Linked DNA regions of Canis lupus familiaris. The protein of the gene in region 4 purifies or fractionates together with the protein of the main gene of each other region. This does not show direct contact. Links are inferred from orthologs where the notes say so. Each region holds a gene or a part of one and is shown on either strand. Other genes may lie near its edges.

Region 1 (4,268 bases), on a different chromosome or scaffold from region 4:
TAGAGATAAGAGATTTGAGAGGCCCTGGCAATGGGTGATCGATCATTAAACTGGGGGAGCTGATAATCACCCAAGAAAATAGAAATGGAAAATGTCCATTAATTTAGACATTTAACAAACTGAAGATGTGTGTATATATATATATGTATATATATACTTTTGTATCCATTCTCCTCCATGAACATGTATCTGTTCTCATCTTTTTTTTAAAAAAAAAAAATATTTTATTTATTTATTCATTCATTCGAGACACACAGAGAGAGAGAAAGAGAGAGAGAGAGACACAGGCAGAGGGAGAAGCAGGCTCCACGCAAGGAGCCCCATGTGGGACTCGATCCCAGGTCTCCAGGATCAGGCCCTGGGCCAAAGGTGGTGCTAAACCGCTGAGCCACCCGGGCTGCCCTGTTCTCATCTTTTTATTCTTGTATCTTGTATCTCCATGTATCTGTTCTCATCTTTTTATTCTTAATTCTGATTAAAGTACCCCTAGTAAGTACTAAAAAGAAAATTCTCAAGTGAAAGAGCAAGTGAATAATGAATCAAAGTATGAAGTATATGCCTCATAAGCAGAAGGAAGTAAGTTTTCCTGTCCAGGAAGAATCCTGGAATTTTACAGCACCTCCCAAATACAGACACATCATCATGGCTCCTATGTGTCCTGTGATCCCTGATTCCTAAACCGAGATTACTCATGCATTCAACATAATGGTACTGCACACCTACTGTGTTCCAGGCACTGTGAGATGAATACTGGGGAAATAGTGCTGAATAAATCAGATATGGTCCTAGCCCTCGTGTAGCTTGTGGTCTCGTGGGTAAGAAAGACCTTAAAACAACAAACAGTTGGAAATCCTAACTGCCTTCATTGAAGGCCAATATTTCACTCAGCAGTTTTGATTAATAGCCAGATCCCACTCCTCTATAAATGTCTTACTTTCATATGGCTCCTTATTAGCAAATATCGCCCAAAGTACTATGCCAAAGCTGTACACATCTGACTTCTCCGAGGGCTTGGCGTTGATGTCATTCAGATGCTCTGGGGCCATATAGCAGAGGGTTCCACCATTTTTCTTAGAGACACTATTCAATTTCCTCTGCTCATTAATTTCCTCTTTAGTCAGTTTACTCCACGTCTTAAAGGAAGCAACGCCAAGATCAGCTATCTGCAAGAGATCAAATCAACGTGATTGTTCTATGAGAGCCAGAGGCAAATTAGACTTGTCTTTAAATGTTGGGCTTAACTAATAGATGCAAGGTATAGTGAATTTCCAGAAATTTCCACTAGATAGATTTAAAACAGCTACTTCTGAACAAGTTCATAGAAACTTTGTTTCCTCAGCTATCTGGAAAATGTCCCTAAGATGTGTCCATGTGAAATTCTGGTATTTGAATTCTTATGCAATAAAACCATGTAATTTGCTAGGGGAAGGGGAGGGAAAAGAAAAGCAGAAGTCATTTCTGACATGAACTACAGCAGAACGTGTTTATTCTAATTCCTCATTTACTCTGCATACTTTTTTTTCAACTATTTCTGGGGCTAGGAAGAAAAGGGGTCTTCTCAGCAGATGTGTATAGCACATGGGGACTAGATACCGCACCTTCAATTTTCCCAAATGGTGTCCCGAAGCCCATGGATGCGAGATTCTAAGAACTCCAAAGTCCTGAGGATACAGACTGCTGTGCTACTTGTTTTGAGTTGGTAGCCTGAACCTGAGAGAAGATGGGATAGGAAGAAGGAGAAAAACCAACAAGGAAACCAAAAGAAAAATACAAAGGTCAGACACAGAACAAAGAGAGAGGTGGCAGGGCAATGATAGAACAGGGAAGGATAGAACAATACAGTTAAGAAGAAATCAGAGGGAACAGTTTCACTTTTGCCTCTAGGAATCCAAGCATTTGGGTAGATCATGTGGTGATCTAAAATCCCCCGATTTTAACCTAAGAGATACATAAGAAATAAGTGATTTAATGTTAAAGAGGGAAACTTCCTTTTAAAGTTATAGGAATAAGAATCTGTCCAAGACTAGAAGGAAGCATTAGAAGCAGAATCTCATAGTGGAGGGACTCTGAGTCAGCAGCTCCTGCGCTCCCCACCATTGCTGCTTCCCCTTTCAGATTCTCGTGCTTGGATTCCTGCTGCCAAAACCAATTAGATGTGATGTTCCACCTACTTAAATCTGCTCTTGGGTGAACAAAAGGAAAATCCCCTCCCCTTGTTCCCTTTACTACAATGGAATAAATTATAGTTAAAAAAAAAACTGATAAAAAACGTAGATAACATTAATAAAAAAATAAATAATATGAACTCCATCGAGTCCGTATCTTTCTTGTGAATCCTTGGCACCACCGTTCACCAGTTCTAAGCTGAGCGAGGTCTTCCTTTAGTGTTTATCACATACAAAAATGGGTTTATAGCAGAGAATTAAAACTAAAACCCCCCTGGGGCACCTGAGTAGCTTAGTCGGTTAAGCATCTGCCTTTTGGCTCAGGTTATGATCCCAGGACCATCTCAGGTTAAACCCTGCATCAGGCTCCCTGCTCAGGGCGGGAATCTGCTCTTTGCTGCTATCTCTGTTGCTATCTTTGTCTCTGTCTCTCTCTCTTTCACAAATAAACAAAATCTTTAAGAAAAAAACAAAACCACCCCAATCTTCTAGAAACTTTCAGATTCTGATTTACCTTAATGTGAAAGTCATCATCGACAAGGATGTTTTCAGGCTTTAGGTCCTTGTGTATTACGCCTTCTCCATGGAGGTAGCACATCCCTTCAATGGTCTCCATAATTATCCTTCCTTTTACAGAAAGGGGGATACTGACCTAAAACAAGGGACATTAAGTCTATGACATGGAAAGGTAAGTCAAACAGGCCAAAGCAACTGTTTTATTCAAGGTTGTGGGGTCTGAACCTGTGGATATCCAGATCCTCCTCGACATACAATGGAGTTGTGTTATGTCCTAATAAACACATCACAAGTTGACAGTATTATGAGTTGAAAATGTGTTTAATACACCTAACCTACCAAACGCCATAGCTTAGCCCAACCTACCTTTAATCTGCTTAGAGCGCTTACATTAGCCTTAGTTGGGCAAAATCATCTAACACAAAGCCTATTTTATAATAAAATGTTGAATATCTCAAGTAACTGACTGATAGTGAACAGCAAGTGAAAAACAGAATGGCTGTGTAACAGAATGGTCGCGAGCATGTTGGCTGTCTACCTTGTGATCACACAGCTGGCCGGGAGCTGTGGTTCCGCTCAGCGGCTGCTGCCCCAGTATCATGAGAGAGGACTATAATGCATATCATTAGCCCAGGAAGAGACCCAAATTCAAAATTCAAAGAATGGTTTCCACTGAATGCCCATGGCTTTTGACCATTGTAAAGTGAAAAAGTCGTAAGTCGAACCATAAGTTGGGGACCATCTGTAGTCACCAGGATTCCTTCTACTATGCTTTGCAGCACAGCTATCATTTTAAAAGAAGCCTCCTTTTAAAGAAAGATTTCATCCCATGTGCTAAGGGTATTACTATTGTGTTCTGTCCTGTAAAACTAAAACTTCCACGCTAATATGGAAATATGTTAAAATGCTATAAAGTTAAGCTCTTTGAGCGCAGAACACGATGATGATGGCGATGATTATAATATACATCCTTACTTACTACCTAGCATGGTGCCTAGAATTGTTGTTGAATGAAGGCATAAAGAAATAAACAAAAAACCAATTATTTTTTACAGTCCATTAGTATATGCTACTATATATTAAATAGACGAACAATGTCACAGAAACGTGTGTATGAAATCATACGAGAAAAGACAATATGAAAGAAATGTGCTGATTACACTGATTACAAACATTTAAGATGAACCTATGAGGTAACATGATGTTAAAACAAGGCTGAAGTGCAGTGGCACTGCTGGGGATTTACCCCAAAGATAGAGATGCAGTGAAATGTCAAGACACCTGCACCCCAATGTTTATAGCAGCAAAGTCCGCGATAGCCAAACTGTGGAAGGAGCCTCGGTGTTCATCGAAAGATGATGGATAGAGAAGCTGTGGTCTATGTACACAATGGAATATTTCTCAGCCATTAGAAACGACAAATACCCACCATTTCCTTCAACATGGATGGAACTGGAGGGGATTATGCTGAGTGATAAGTCAATTGGAGAAGGACAAACATTCTATGGTCTCATTCATTTGGGGAACAGAAAAAAATAGTGAAAGGGATTATAGGGGAAAGGAGGGGAACTGAGTGGGAAAAATTAA
Region 2 (4,002 bases), on a different chromosome or scaffold from region 4:
CACTTGATCATTACCTCAAGTAATAGAATCAGGACTTGTGTTTTCATCCAAAAAATGTTAGCCAGTGCAGGGAACTGCCTCTAGAGTCAGGTGATCCTGAGGCCTTTGGGGTATAGCACTGCGGCGTGTCTTCCCAGCACCATTGTTTCAGTCAGATCCCATTCTTTCTCTGGCCTCTAGTCCTTTTGGCCTATCCTCCACACATATTTTTAAATTTTAATTTAAATTTTTTAAAAAATATTTTACTTATTTGAGAGAGAGAGAGCAGGGAGAGGGAGAGCGAGTGAGCACGTGTGCGGTGGGGAGGAGCTGAGGGAGAGGGAGAAACAGGCTCCATGCTGGGCAGGAAGCCTGATGGGGGGCTCTACCCCAGACCCTGAGGTCATGACCTGAGCGACAGGCAGATGCTCAACTGACTGAGTCACCCAGGCATCCACTTTTTTTTTTAAAGGGGTTTATGTATTTATTTGAGAGAGCCAGGTCACACAAGAGAGAGCATGAGTGGGGGGAGAGGCAGAAGGAACTGGAGAAGCAGGCTTCCTGCTGAGCAGGGAGACAGACCAGGACCCCAGGATCATGACCTGAGTGGAAGGCAGATGCTTAACCCACTGAGCCACCAGGCGCCCCTGTCCTCCACACTTTTCATGTTAATCCCAAACTGGATGACATTACGGTCCTTTCTGAGTTCCCCATCACCTCTAGGGTAAAGCCTGAGCCTTTGCCCTACAGCATGAGGCCCTTTGTAATGGTTCCTGGCCACAGCTTCATCCCTATTGCCACCACTTCCCCTCCCAGACACTCATGGTTACTTTGTTGGGCAAATTGTGCCTGCCTGAGTTGACTTGAACATTCTCGCCTCCATCTTCCACATACATTTTTTCCCACCTCCTTCCCACAGGTGCCTGCCATCCAGGAGGCCCTTTCCCCTGGCTATATTCCTACTGTGCCCTGGTTAACTCTCGAACCATTGGCTAATTTGTATATCTACCTTCCAAAATAGTGAGCTACTCAAGAGCAGAAACCTGTCCTATTTGTTTAGTTTTTTGTTTTGTTTCTTCCCTGTGTCCTCAGTAAGACATCTGGTGTGTAGTAGAGATAACAGCACTTGATGAAGGAATAGACCAGTAAATGGTACTTCTCTTCCTCATCTGAACATAATATTGTGTTTTGACCTAGGTTAACAACTACCTCGTCCTGACACTTGACCAACATGGATTTCAGCAAATGCCTCTACAATATTGGGGAACAGCTGGACAGTGACGAACTGGCCTCCCTCAAATTCCTGAGCTTGGACTACATCCCACAGAAGAAGCAGGAGCCCATCAAGGATCCCTTGATGTTATTCCAGAGACTCCAGGAAAAGAGAATGTTGGAGGAAAGCAACCTGTTCTTTTTGAAGGAGCTGCTTTTCCGAATTAATAGACTGGATCTGCTGATGACCTACCTGGACACCAGCAAGGAAGACATGCAGCAGGAGCTTCAGATACCAGGCAGAGCCCAGATCTCTGCCTACAGGTGGGGAGGATCTCCACGGTTCAGGCACTGGGAGGCGTGGGTGCAGTGGATGCGTGTCTGTGGGCAGGGCTGCTTGCGGCTGTCTGTGTGGTATGACTTTGGAAGTTCCTTGAAGATGTCCCACCAGGGCCAGATAGAGAAATTTAGAGAACTTGTATATAATTCAGTAAAAAAGTGAAGGCAGAAAATTAAAAAAAAAAAAAAAGTGTTTCCAAAGTGCAACGTTACCTGTAGGTGTGCTAAAATTAGAACAGTCGTCTGCTGGATGTTCTCTCTGTCTACCCTTCTGTTGCCTCTGCTCGGTTGATGTCTACATCGCGCGCTTACTTTGCTTATTTCTGGATGAAGCATCGCCCCTGCTTACCTGAAATCCCCCTCCACCTGCTTGTGGATGACTATGGAAACGCTCAGTGGGGTTTTAGGTTTTTATTTCACACTGAAAAACTTGCATCACAGTGTCCTCCAGAGAGAGGGATGTGCGGCCAGTATCCTGGACCAGCCAGGCTGTACCCCACAAGGACTGCCGAGTCCCTGGGGGCCCAGCTGCTGCCAGGAGAATGGTGGTAACTTCAGTCATCTGTCCTGCCCAACACCTTGCAGCTGGGTCTCTCCCTGCCTGTGGGATAGCGGGTACCCAGGGGTGATAACAAGCCATGTTCTGTTACGTTTTTATGAATTGGTAACAGATTTCTTTGTGTGTGTGTGTGTGTGTGTGTGTGCAAAAAGGTGATTTTATTAAAATATGGGCAGAAGGGGCTGCATGGGGTGAGTGATCATATATATAGGTAATAGACTTTAAAAACAGAAACACACTACCAACTTCTGTCTTTTAACATGCCCTGTTATCAGATACTCCCTAAAGTTATTTTTAGCTTCCCTTCTGAAAACTTCTACTCAAGCCTTAGCTGTGGCCCATTTCACCGGTCTCTTCTTTCTTGTCAATAATGATGGCATGTGTGTGACAGTAAGTCCTCACAGCCAGGGCTGTGAAAGCCACTATCCTCTACTTTTGTGGCCTATTTTTAAAAAAGATTTTATTTATTTATTCATGAGAGACAGAGAGAGAGAGAGAGAGAGAGAGAGAGGCAGAGACACAGGCAGAGGGAGAAGCAGGCTCCATGCAGGGAGCCCGATGTGGGACTCCATCCTGGGTCTCCAGGATCAGGCCCTGGGCTGAAGGCAGCGCCAAACTGCTGAGCCACCCAGGCTACCCTAGCGTGGCCTATTTGTGAATATAAATGTCTCTACCATGTTAAGCTGCCCAGTTTGTGGGACATTGTTACGGCAGCCTTAGGAAACTCATACACCCAGGACATCTCTTTTGCCACTTAAAATCAAAATTCTCAAGAAGCTCTAAGTAGAGAAACATATGATAAGGAACATGCCAAATCTTGGGTCTCTGAGACTATGGGCCAGGACATTCACGAATGTTTTTGTGTTGTTATTTTCCTTTACATAATAGTGGAAGGTTTGCTAACTTATTGAACTTTCCTTTGCTCCTTCAACAAATGTATCTCAAGAACTTATCATAGATGAAAAAATAATAATGCCTGTTGTGTATTGAACACTTAGCGTGTTGCCAGTTGGCTTCAACACGTCAGATAAACTTGTTCGTATTATTCTTAATATGTCCCAGTGGTATATAGTATTATCTACAAGTTTACAGATGAGGGAAAAGAGCGCATAACACGTCCAAAGTCACACGGCTCTGAGATGATGGAACCAGAGTTCCGAAATCAGTAGTCTAGGCCCCCTGCACTTACATACTTCACCTCGTGACCCCCTGGGCTTATGGAAACAAAAAGGGCACGAACCCTCCTCTCAAGGGGCTCAGAGGGCTTCCAAAGCAGACAATTACAACATGTATGTAAACTTTCTGGGGATACAAGGCACCGTGGGGTGAATGCATTCTCAAGCATACTCGGGCGGGACTCAAGCTTAGTGGGTGACTCTGTGTCTGCGGATGGACAAGGGAATGGGGATGTGAAAGCATAGATAAAGGTGGGGACAGGACAGCTGGGTGTGTTTGGGGGGTGGAGGGGGACTGGTGGTGAGGAGTCGCTAGAGAAGCTGAGGGGGTAGGCTGGACTCGCTGCACAGAGGTCTGTATTCCGGAACTGAGTGTTGAGCCTTCCTGTGGAAGTTGACAGCTAGGAGAGCGCTAACAAGTTTTAATCAAGGAAGTGATGATCCAGTTTGCATGTTGAAAAGCATAATTTCCAAAATAAAACTTTCATTTTTTTCTACTGCAATAAGTGACTTTATAGTGGAGGACCAAGGAAAAACAAAATTCATCTCACTGAAATTAACTGTGTGGCATAGTCAGTGGAACTGCAAATTCTGTTAAGGGTGGAGCATTGGGGCATGAGTCAGTAGTCTGTTATGTCCCTGCAGCAGCCTCTTTCCAAAGATTCAACTCATAAAGTATGTCATTAGCTGTCTTTAAGGAGTGGTGACCAGAATCAAGTTTCCACTGCAACTCCTTTT
Region 3 (4,168 bases), on a different chromosome or scaffold from region 4:
GAAGGTCAAACTCATCCCCAAGGCCCACACAGCTCCATATGGTCCAGCCATATGAGTGATTACCCCCCAAAACACCCCCTACTTCACCTCTCACCCACTCTCCTTAATTCTCTGTGCTCCGAATTCAGAGGCTTTCCCATCGTTTCTCTATAACACACACTTCCCCACCTCAGGGCCTTTGCACATGCATTTCTCTCTGCCTGACAAGCCCTTCCCCAGCTCCATGCTTGGCCAACTCCTACATACTTCCTTCAAAATTCCTCTGCACCCCACGCCTCTCTCTCTGAGCCCTTATCGCATCTGTGATTATATATTAATTTATTTGGTAACTTGTTTGCTATTTGGCTCACCCTCTAGACTCAAATATCTAGGAGGCCAGGGACCTGTTCACAATTCTGCAGCAGGATGACCACCTCCACAATCCCAGCAACCCTGGGAAGTGTCCGAATAGAAGAAAGAGCACCCTCCCTCCTTCTTTGTTGAGCAAACTTCTTGCCCTCCCTCACCTCTTGGAAGCCCCCTGATGCCTCCTACAACTCCCACTACTAACCCCTTCGCCACACTGCTCAGCCTGAGTTTGAAGCTCCTAGCATATAGCAGAGGCTCACACAGGGTCACGGATGTTTGCATCTGGGCAGGTTTGGAAAATGGGATCAACGAGGACCAGGGGGTTGGGGAGTGTTGTCAGCAGGTCACTGAGCCATGTCCTCCCTGGCTCCTGGGGCTCGCGGGAGCCAGACATCCCCCCCCACCCGCCAGGTCACAATCAGGAAGAAGCCACAGCAGGCACTGTGCTGTGAGCTGGGGAGAGTTCATGCTCCAGGAAGAGGATGGGGAGGGGAGGCAGAGCCAGGGAGCCTTCCTGGAAGAGGTGGGCCTGAAGCTAAGTCTTCAAGAGTAAGAACAGATAAACAGCTCACAGAGGAGAGGGCAGTCCTGGCAGGGACACCTACAGGAGGAAAAAAGCCCAAGAGCCACACAGAAGGGCTTAGGCAGGCAGTCAGCTGAGAGAGGTGACACACTGTAAATCACTTCCCTAGGTGGAAAGACCACATCACCGAGGCACACCACATCACCACATCCCCAGGAGGACCTCGTGGCTTCCATGCAATCACTCATCAATCTGTATGGTCTAACACCGTTGCATGCCTCGTCCCATACTGAGAAACCCCTGCTCCCCCCACACTGGAGGGGTCAAGGGCAGCCAAACTGGGGTCTCTGAAGTGTACGTTCTCATTCCAGCTTCAAACTGTGTGGGCTTGGTCAAGTCCTTTCCCCTCTCTGAGCCTCGGTTTCTCCATTTGGCCTATTTTATACTTAATAAGACTGAGGCCCAAGGAGGCAGCGAGTTGCTCGAGGTCACACAGCTGCTGGGTGGCAGGATGGTGCTGGAGTTGTTTCTCAAGGGGCTCTCAGGTGGCTTTTCGGACACCAATCCATCCTCTTCTGGACACAAGCCCCACTGGGACCAGCCCCCTCAGCCCCCTCCCATTTTAGGCAATTCATCCAGTGAAGCACTCATTTATTGAGCACCTACTACACACTGAGCTCCTACACGTAGAAGTGCATATATTCTTCCCCCATTCCACATGTGGGTGCTCAGAGGGGCAGTCCCTTGGCCCAGGTCACCCAGGGAGACAAGAAGTCTTGTCTGTCCAGCCAGGAGGCTGACAAGAGGGGCACTAACAGGACCCGCCTGGTCTATGCCTGAAACCAAGTCTGATCTCAGCAGCACTGTGTCTGGGCCTGGACTCATCCCAGGTAACCCAGGGACCCCTGCCCCAAATGTAGAGGTCCTGAAGCTCAGGAAGCCCCACTTGACAAGCCTCACTTGTTCGGCCCACCGGCCAGTGAGCCTGAAGGCCCCAGAGGCAGAACTGATACCCCATAGGTGAGCCTCTTCTGTTTACCGTCATCCTTCCACCAGCCCAGCAGTCCCAGCCAGACCCACCTGCCACTGATCAGGACCCCCAGATCAGAGAGGGTAGGCAGTTGCCTGACCACACAGAGCTGGGCAAGCGGCAGCCCCTGTGGGCACCTAAGCTCACCCCCAACCGAAGCCCAGGCAGGGAGATGGACCCAGCCTGGTGGAGAAAACCCAAAACTTTTGCCAACTTCTGAGCAGGCAGGCGGCTGGGCCTGCCAGGGGCGAGGCTGGGGGCTGGGGGCAGTGGACCGACAGTGCGGCCCTGTCCCTTCCAGACCCGCGGCACCAGGCCCTACCCCAAGCTCCAGGAGGACAGGGTGGTCCTGGGGCCCCGGCCCGCGCCCCTGGCTCGGCGCCCCCAGGCCCACCCTGCCCGCCCCCTCTCCACCTCCCATCCCGGCCGGGGGCGCCAGGCCCGGCAGCCGCGGCCAGAGGCGGCGCCGACAGGCTCAGATTTCAGATTTGGCCTAGACCTGGCCCGGGGGCTCGGCCGGGCTCCCGCTCCGGGGGCTCCGGGGGCTCCGGGGGCTCCGGGGAAGGGGGAGCCGGCGGCGGCCCCCGCGCCGGCCGGACCCCGAGCCCCCGCCCGCCCCCTCCCCCCCAAGGCATCACAACAAAAGGCCGCGCCGGGCAGGTCCCCCTGCGCCCGCCCAGCGCCCCGGGATCGCGCCTCGGACCCGGCGAGGCCGGAGCGGGGCCCCGAGCCCCCCGCCGCCCGCCCTCCGACGCCACGGGGTCCGGGCGGGGCTCCCCCGGGCCGGCGGGGACCGGGGCCCGCGGAGGGGCGGGGGGCGCTCACCTGGGCCGCTGGGCGGCGGCGCACGGGCGGACGGACGCGCGGGAGGGCGGACCGCGGGACGGCGGGGTCGGGCACTCGGCGGCCTGGCCGCTCCGGCTCCCAGGCCGGAATGGATTCCGGGCCGGGAGAGACAGATCGGGAGAGAAAGGGAGGAGGAGGCGGCGGCGGCCGGGGAGGGGAGAGGAGGGAGGGAGCGCGCGAGCGGGGAGGAGGGGCCCGGCCGGCCGCCGGGGGGAGGAGGAAGGAGGAAGCGTGCGGGGCCCGACTCCCCGCGGTGACCCGGGAGAGACCCACGCGCGGGCCCCACCCCGTGGGCGCAGGAGCCGCAGGAGCCGGGGTGCGGAGGGGCAGGCGGGGGGCGGGGACACAGAAACCCTGCCCCCACCCCGACCCGTGAGAGCGCCCCACCCTGTGGGACCCCTAAATACCCCCCAGCCAAAATGCCCTCCCTAACCGGGCCCAAGCACCCGTCCTGCTGACCCCAAATCCACCTCTTCCTCAATTACCGGTAATAAGAATAATAATGTCAGCGCTAACGGAGCCTTTGCTCTTTCCCAGGCACCATGCCAATGGCTCAGGTCGACTTTTAAAAGGCTCTATTCCTAACAACACCTAGGCTGGGCAGGCTGATGATTATCCCCATTTTACAGATGAAAAACTGAGGCACAGAGAAGGAAGTCACCTGAGGAGAACCAGGCCTTGGACCCGCCTTGACTTGAGTTTCCCAAAGCAAGGACCGGGGCAGGAGGAACAGTGTAGGGAAGAGCAACATTTATTTTAATAGATACACGTTCATTTTATATTTTATTTTATTTTTTTAGATTGTATTTCTTTTCAGAGAGAGAGCAGGGGGAGGGGGAGGGGCACAGGGAGAGAGAGAAGCAGACTCACTGCTCAGCAGGGAGCCAGTTGCAGGCAGGGCTCCATCCCAGGGCCTGAGATCATGACCAGAGCTGAAGTCAGGTACTTAGCTGATTGAGCCACCCAGGTGCCCTGATATATGTTCATTTTAATGTGCATTTAAAAAACAAAACAGTAACTAAGGCAGCTTATCAGAAGTCATTGAGTTTTAGATATTCCTGCTTATGAGGGGGCTGAAGCCAGTATTTAGTGGCAATCACACTTCCCAGAAAATAAAGAGGCAAATTATATCTGGATGCAGGGGGCAAGGAGTAGAGCAAAGAAAAGGGACAATAAGGAAATGCTGCTTTAGGCCACAAAGGCTTCTGCAAACACTATGCCAACAATCTCACCCCATGCTCCAAAACTGCACCCCACTTTTGGCTCTTCACTAGTCCTCCTGGAATCATGGCATAGGGAAGGGTGAGTGTGAATCCAGCTTTAAATACCATCCCTGTTTTGTCTCTCCTTCTTTGAAATTTCTCCCATTTCACAGATGGGAAACTAAGGCCCATCCAGGTCAAACAGCACCAGGCCTCGGC
Region 4 (3,500 bases):
GCGATCTTCAGGAGGTTCCAGAGCTCCTTCTGCCGCTTCTCCTGAAGCCGGACAACAGTCTTCTCATCTTCGTTCATTAAACTCACCACTTCTTCCACCTTGGGCAACAGTTCCAGAGCCTTCTGCTTACAAACCACAGTTTTACTGTAAAGAATAAATGTGACAAACTCCAGTGGCACTGGGGTTGGAGAAAGTGGAAGAACACAATCCCTGGTAACTAGGAATCCGACAGCAGCTGTGGATAAATTTTCTCCAGGTGAAGCAAGTCAGAGGGGAGCCAGAAAAAGACCTCATGTGAGGCCTAGCAGTTTCTCCGAATTCCACCCTTGGGCAGGAAGGTCAGGGCAGATACCTGAGCTGCGTATAAATCACTCGCACTTTCTTCTCAAAACCTTGGATGGCCTGCAGGAGCAGCCGGACCATCTCCTGACTGTCGCCATCAGTTCGCTGGTCTGGAAAGAGGGAAGGAGCTGCACAGTTCTTCCCGGTGGCCAGCAGAGCGCCAACGCTGCACACCTCACAAAACAAGGCACCCATGGCCCACAGAAGCCCCACTTACCTCTGGGCTTTTCCCTAAGCCTCCTATAAAGCTCCCTCGCCTGCTCTTCTCTGAAACACAGGAAGAAGAAATACATTTAAAACACCAGGTAGGTAATTCCTGCCAGTACAATGAGTGCCTTTTAGAAGCAAGACAGGGAATGCCTGGGTGGCTCAGTGGTTTAGCACCCGCCTTTGGCCCAGGGCATGATCCTGGAGTCCCTGGATTGAGTCCCACATCGGGCTCCCTGCATGAAGCCTGCTTCTTTCTCTGCTTCTTTCTCTATCTGCCTACCTCTCTCTCTCTCATGAAAAAATAAATTAATTTTAAAAAATAGAAGATGGGCATTACGCCTTGATTGGAGGGAATTATTACCCCTGGAGCTATTCCAGGTGATGCCTATAACAAGGCAACGATGGCCCTCATTATTAAACCTGAACCATCTCTAAGGTTTAATGAGCGAGAGTCTCAAGGAAGTGAGTTTCTACTCTGTCCCTTGGAATTTCCTGTCCACGTGGCTTCTGCAATAGTGACTCCAGTGCCATAACCTGGAGAGCAAACGGCCTCCTTGAAACTCAAGCCCAAGGGCAACAGAATCTCCTAACCGTTTCCAGCCTTGGCACAGTGAAAGTGACTGACATTCTCAGAGGTGACTTATTTGAAAACTAAAGGAGAATAAAGGGTTAAATAATTGGAGAAAACACAGAATCCGGATCATGAGATTTCCCGTTTGAGATTCTGGTCCTGAGAACTCTAGTAAAGGCATCAGAGGACCCTGCTGAGCCCAAGTGAGAGCTCCCATGTGTGTGATGCAACTCGTCTGCTGCCCGCCCACCTGCACCCTGGGAGCTCCGTGTTTCCCTTCAGGTCTGATTCCCTTCAGGTCAGACGGCTTGGCGGGGACACCTTATCACCCCCTACAGCCAAGGCCAAATTCCTCATAGAGACTCAAATGAACAGTTTCTGGATTCAAACTCTTAAGCCCTGCGAGGCTCCTCCTCTGTTCTACTTTCTGCTCTTCGAGCCACAACTGGATCACGGCAGGAGGTATGAACAGTGATGTCTGAAGCCACGGCAAAGGCTGCTTCCATCACAGCCTTTACAGTTTTTGAACCCCTGCTCTACCTGAGTCATCTGAATTGATCACAACTCTGTGAGGGCTGACAGTTCTTCTTGCCACTCGATAGATATGGAAATGAAGGCTGACAGTGATGGTGATTTGCCCTTGCTCATCCCTGGCACTCCTCTGGAACATGCCAATATGCTCCACCAGAGGGTCATTCTCTATAGAATGGTCTCCTACAGCTTCCATAATAACCACACTTGCACCCTTGGACAATTCCCAGACGCATATGGAAACTTGGCTGGGGCGTGTGCGGGTTGGTCCACTGGCCAGCTGGTACTCACAGGTCATCCAGCGTCCCCCCCTGCTTCCGCCCCATCGGGCTCCTCTGCAGGTCCACGATGTCCGTCTGCAGTGCCATCATGCGTTCCACCAGGTGCTTCACTTCATTCTCCTGATGAAAAAGCTGTGCTCATGTCAACTGACGTAATAAGAGCCTTCTGAGGTGCAGGATTTGGCGGGCAAGTCGCCCTCCCAAACTCACTGAAGACTCTCAACTGACCGGCTAGAAGGGATACAGACTTTGGAGTCAGATGGCCTGAGTTTGGATCTCAGGTCTATCACTTTCTGGCTGTGTGACCCCGTGGGCAAATCACCTAAGCCCTGAGCTACAGTTTCCTCTGCCATAAAATAATCCTCTAATGAGGCCATTTTAGGGCCCAGACAAGATACGGTGTATAAAGTATCCAGCCCGGTGCCCAGAACAAAGAAGATGCCCCATATGTATTCCTTTCTCCCCTTTGTCTATCCCACGTGGAGAGGCCTGGGTGCCTGTGTTTCATAGTTTATGTACATAAGTGCCAGTGTACACTCACTGCCTCTGTGGTTAGGTGAGTTATTATCTATATCATACTCACCTTATACATACACGTCAGTATTGGTGCATAGAAACTGATGTGAAGACACAGAAGTGAAGGTCCCTCCCCAAGTTCTCAGCAGAAAATGAAAAGTCCAGAAAAGGCCTTGGAGCATTCAGTCTTTGATTTGTGTGAGGTCCACTAAGCTATACTTACTTCCCTTACCTCACAATTAACATTTTTCAGTGGGTACTGGATTTCTGCTGTTCTAAGACTTTATGCCTAGATGACTTCTCTCTATGGATTTAGCGTCCCAACAAAATAGGCCAAACCCCTGGCAGGATGGAGTGTTGACTATTCATATAAGGCCCTTTCTAATAGGAAGAAGTCTAGGCCTCCCACAAGGATCCTTCGCATTTGGCTCCTTGTTCAAATCTGTACCAGGTCCAGATAGCTTCCACATCTGCCATTGAGGGGGCCCCTGTACTGCATATCAACCTGGCCTTTTCCCCAGCAAGTCCTAGTTAAGGTCAGAAAGCAGGATGAGGACAACCTGATTCCGGACATACAAACAGACCTAGTGTTTGAGGAGAGAGTGAGAAATGGTAGTGGGAAGCCTCAGCCCCCCTCTGTAAGGACAGGAATTTAAATTGAGTGTCCTACCCGCCCACAGAGCTCCACGGCCTGTTCCATTTCCCTCCAGGCCAGCAGAAGTTTATCTGATGCTGGAAAAAAAAATTGTAGGGGGGGAAGAAAAAAACAAAATGAAAACACCACAAAAACAAAATAGAAACAAACAACTCAATTGTAAGAGACAAAAGAAACCTCAAGAAGAAAAAAAAAAAAAAAGAAAGCAAGAAATGGTCTCTCCAAGCTCATGGCAGAAAGAGTACACTCACTGATTCCAAACTCAGTTTGCTCACTGTACTTCTCCAGGTCAATCTGGATGCTGGTTTTAAAGAAATCCAATTTGGCTTTGAGCTGCTGAGACATGGAAGCCATAGAATTCTTCATCTTGGAGAGGCAGCTATTATTCCGAAGG

Evidence for each region. The genes of interacting proteins can lie anywhere in the genome.
Region 1: the proteins of IKBKB (region 4) and RIPK1 fractionate together in Homo sapiens (co-fractionation; 3 studies listed by BioGRID, with this or other methods). This does not show direct contact. The link is inferred for Canis lupus familiaris from reciprocal best matches to the Homo sapiens genes IKBKB and RIPK1.
Region 2: the proteins of IKBKB (region 4) and CASP8 purify together in Homo sapiens (affinity purification with western blotting; 3 studies listed by BioGRID and IntAct, with this or other methods). This does not show direct contact. The link is inferred for Canis lupus familiaris from reciprocal best matches to the Homo sapiens genes IKBKB and CASP8.
Region 3: the proteins of IKBKB (region 4) and SRC purify together in Homo sapiens (affinity purification with western blotting; 3 studies listed by BioGRID and IntAct, with this or other methods). This does not show direct contact. The link is inferred for Canis lupus familiaris from reciprocal best matches to the Homo sapiens genes IKBKB and SRC.

The regions. Positions count from the first base shown.
Region 1 is NC_049256.1:4,667,095-4,671,362, reverse strand, and holds the start of RIPK1 (receptor-interacting serine/threonine-protein kinase 1), read right to left. Parts: upstream 2,801-4,268; 5' UTR 2,680-2,800; intron 1,711-2,679; 5' UTR 1,599-1,710; intron 1,164-1,598; 5' UTR 1,047-1,163; coding exon 935-1,046; intron 1-934. UniProt on the Homo sapiens protein: Serine-threonine kinase which is a key regulator of TNF-mediated apoptosis, necroptosis and inflammatory pathways.
Region 2 is NC_049258.1:10,247,572-10,251,573, forward strand, and holds the start of CASP8 (caspase-8), read left to right. Parts: upstream 1-1,202; 5' UTR 1,203-1,210; coding exon 1,211-1,515; intron 1,516-4,002. UniProt on the Homo sapiens protein: Thiol protease that plays a key role in programmed cell death by acting as a molecular switch for apoptosis, necroptosis and pyroptosis, and is required to prevent tissue damage during embryonic development and adulthood.
Region 3 is NC_049245.1:26,537,332-26,541,499, reverse strand, and holds the start of SRC (proto-oncogene tyrosine-protein kinase Src), read right to left. Parts: upstream 2,801-4,168; 5' UTR 2,727-2,800; intron 1-2,726. UniProt on the Homo sapiens protein: Non-receptor protein tyrosine kinase which is activated following engagement of many different classes of cellular receptors including immune response receptors, integrins and other adhesion receptors, receptor protein tyrosine kinases, G protein-coupled receptors as well as cytokine receptors.
Region 4 is NC_049237.1:24,100,695-24,104,194, forward strand, and holds part of IKBKB (inhibitor of nuclear factor kappa-B kinase subunit beta), read right to left. Parts: coding exon 3,358-3,500; intron 3,184-3,357; coding exon 3,122-3,183; intron 2,068-3,121; coding exon 1,946-2,067; intron 610-1,945; coding exon 560-609; intron 453-559; coding exon 353-452; intron 145-352; coding exon 1-144.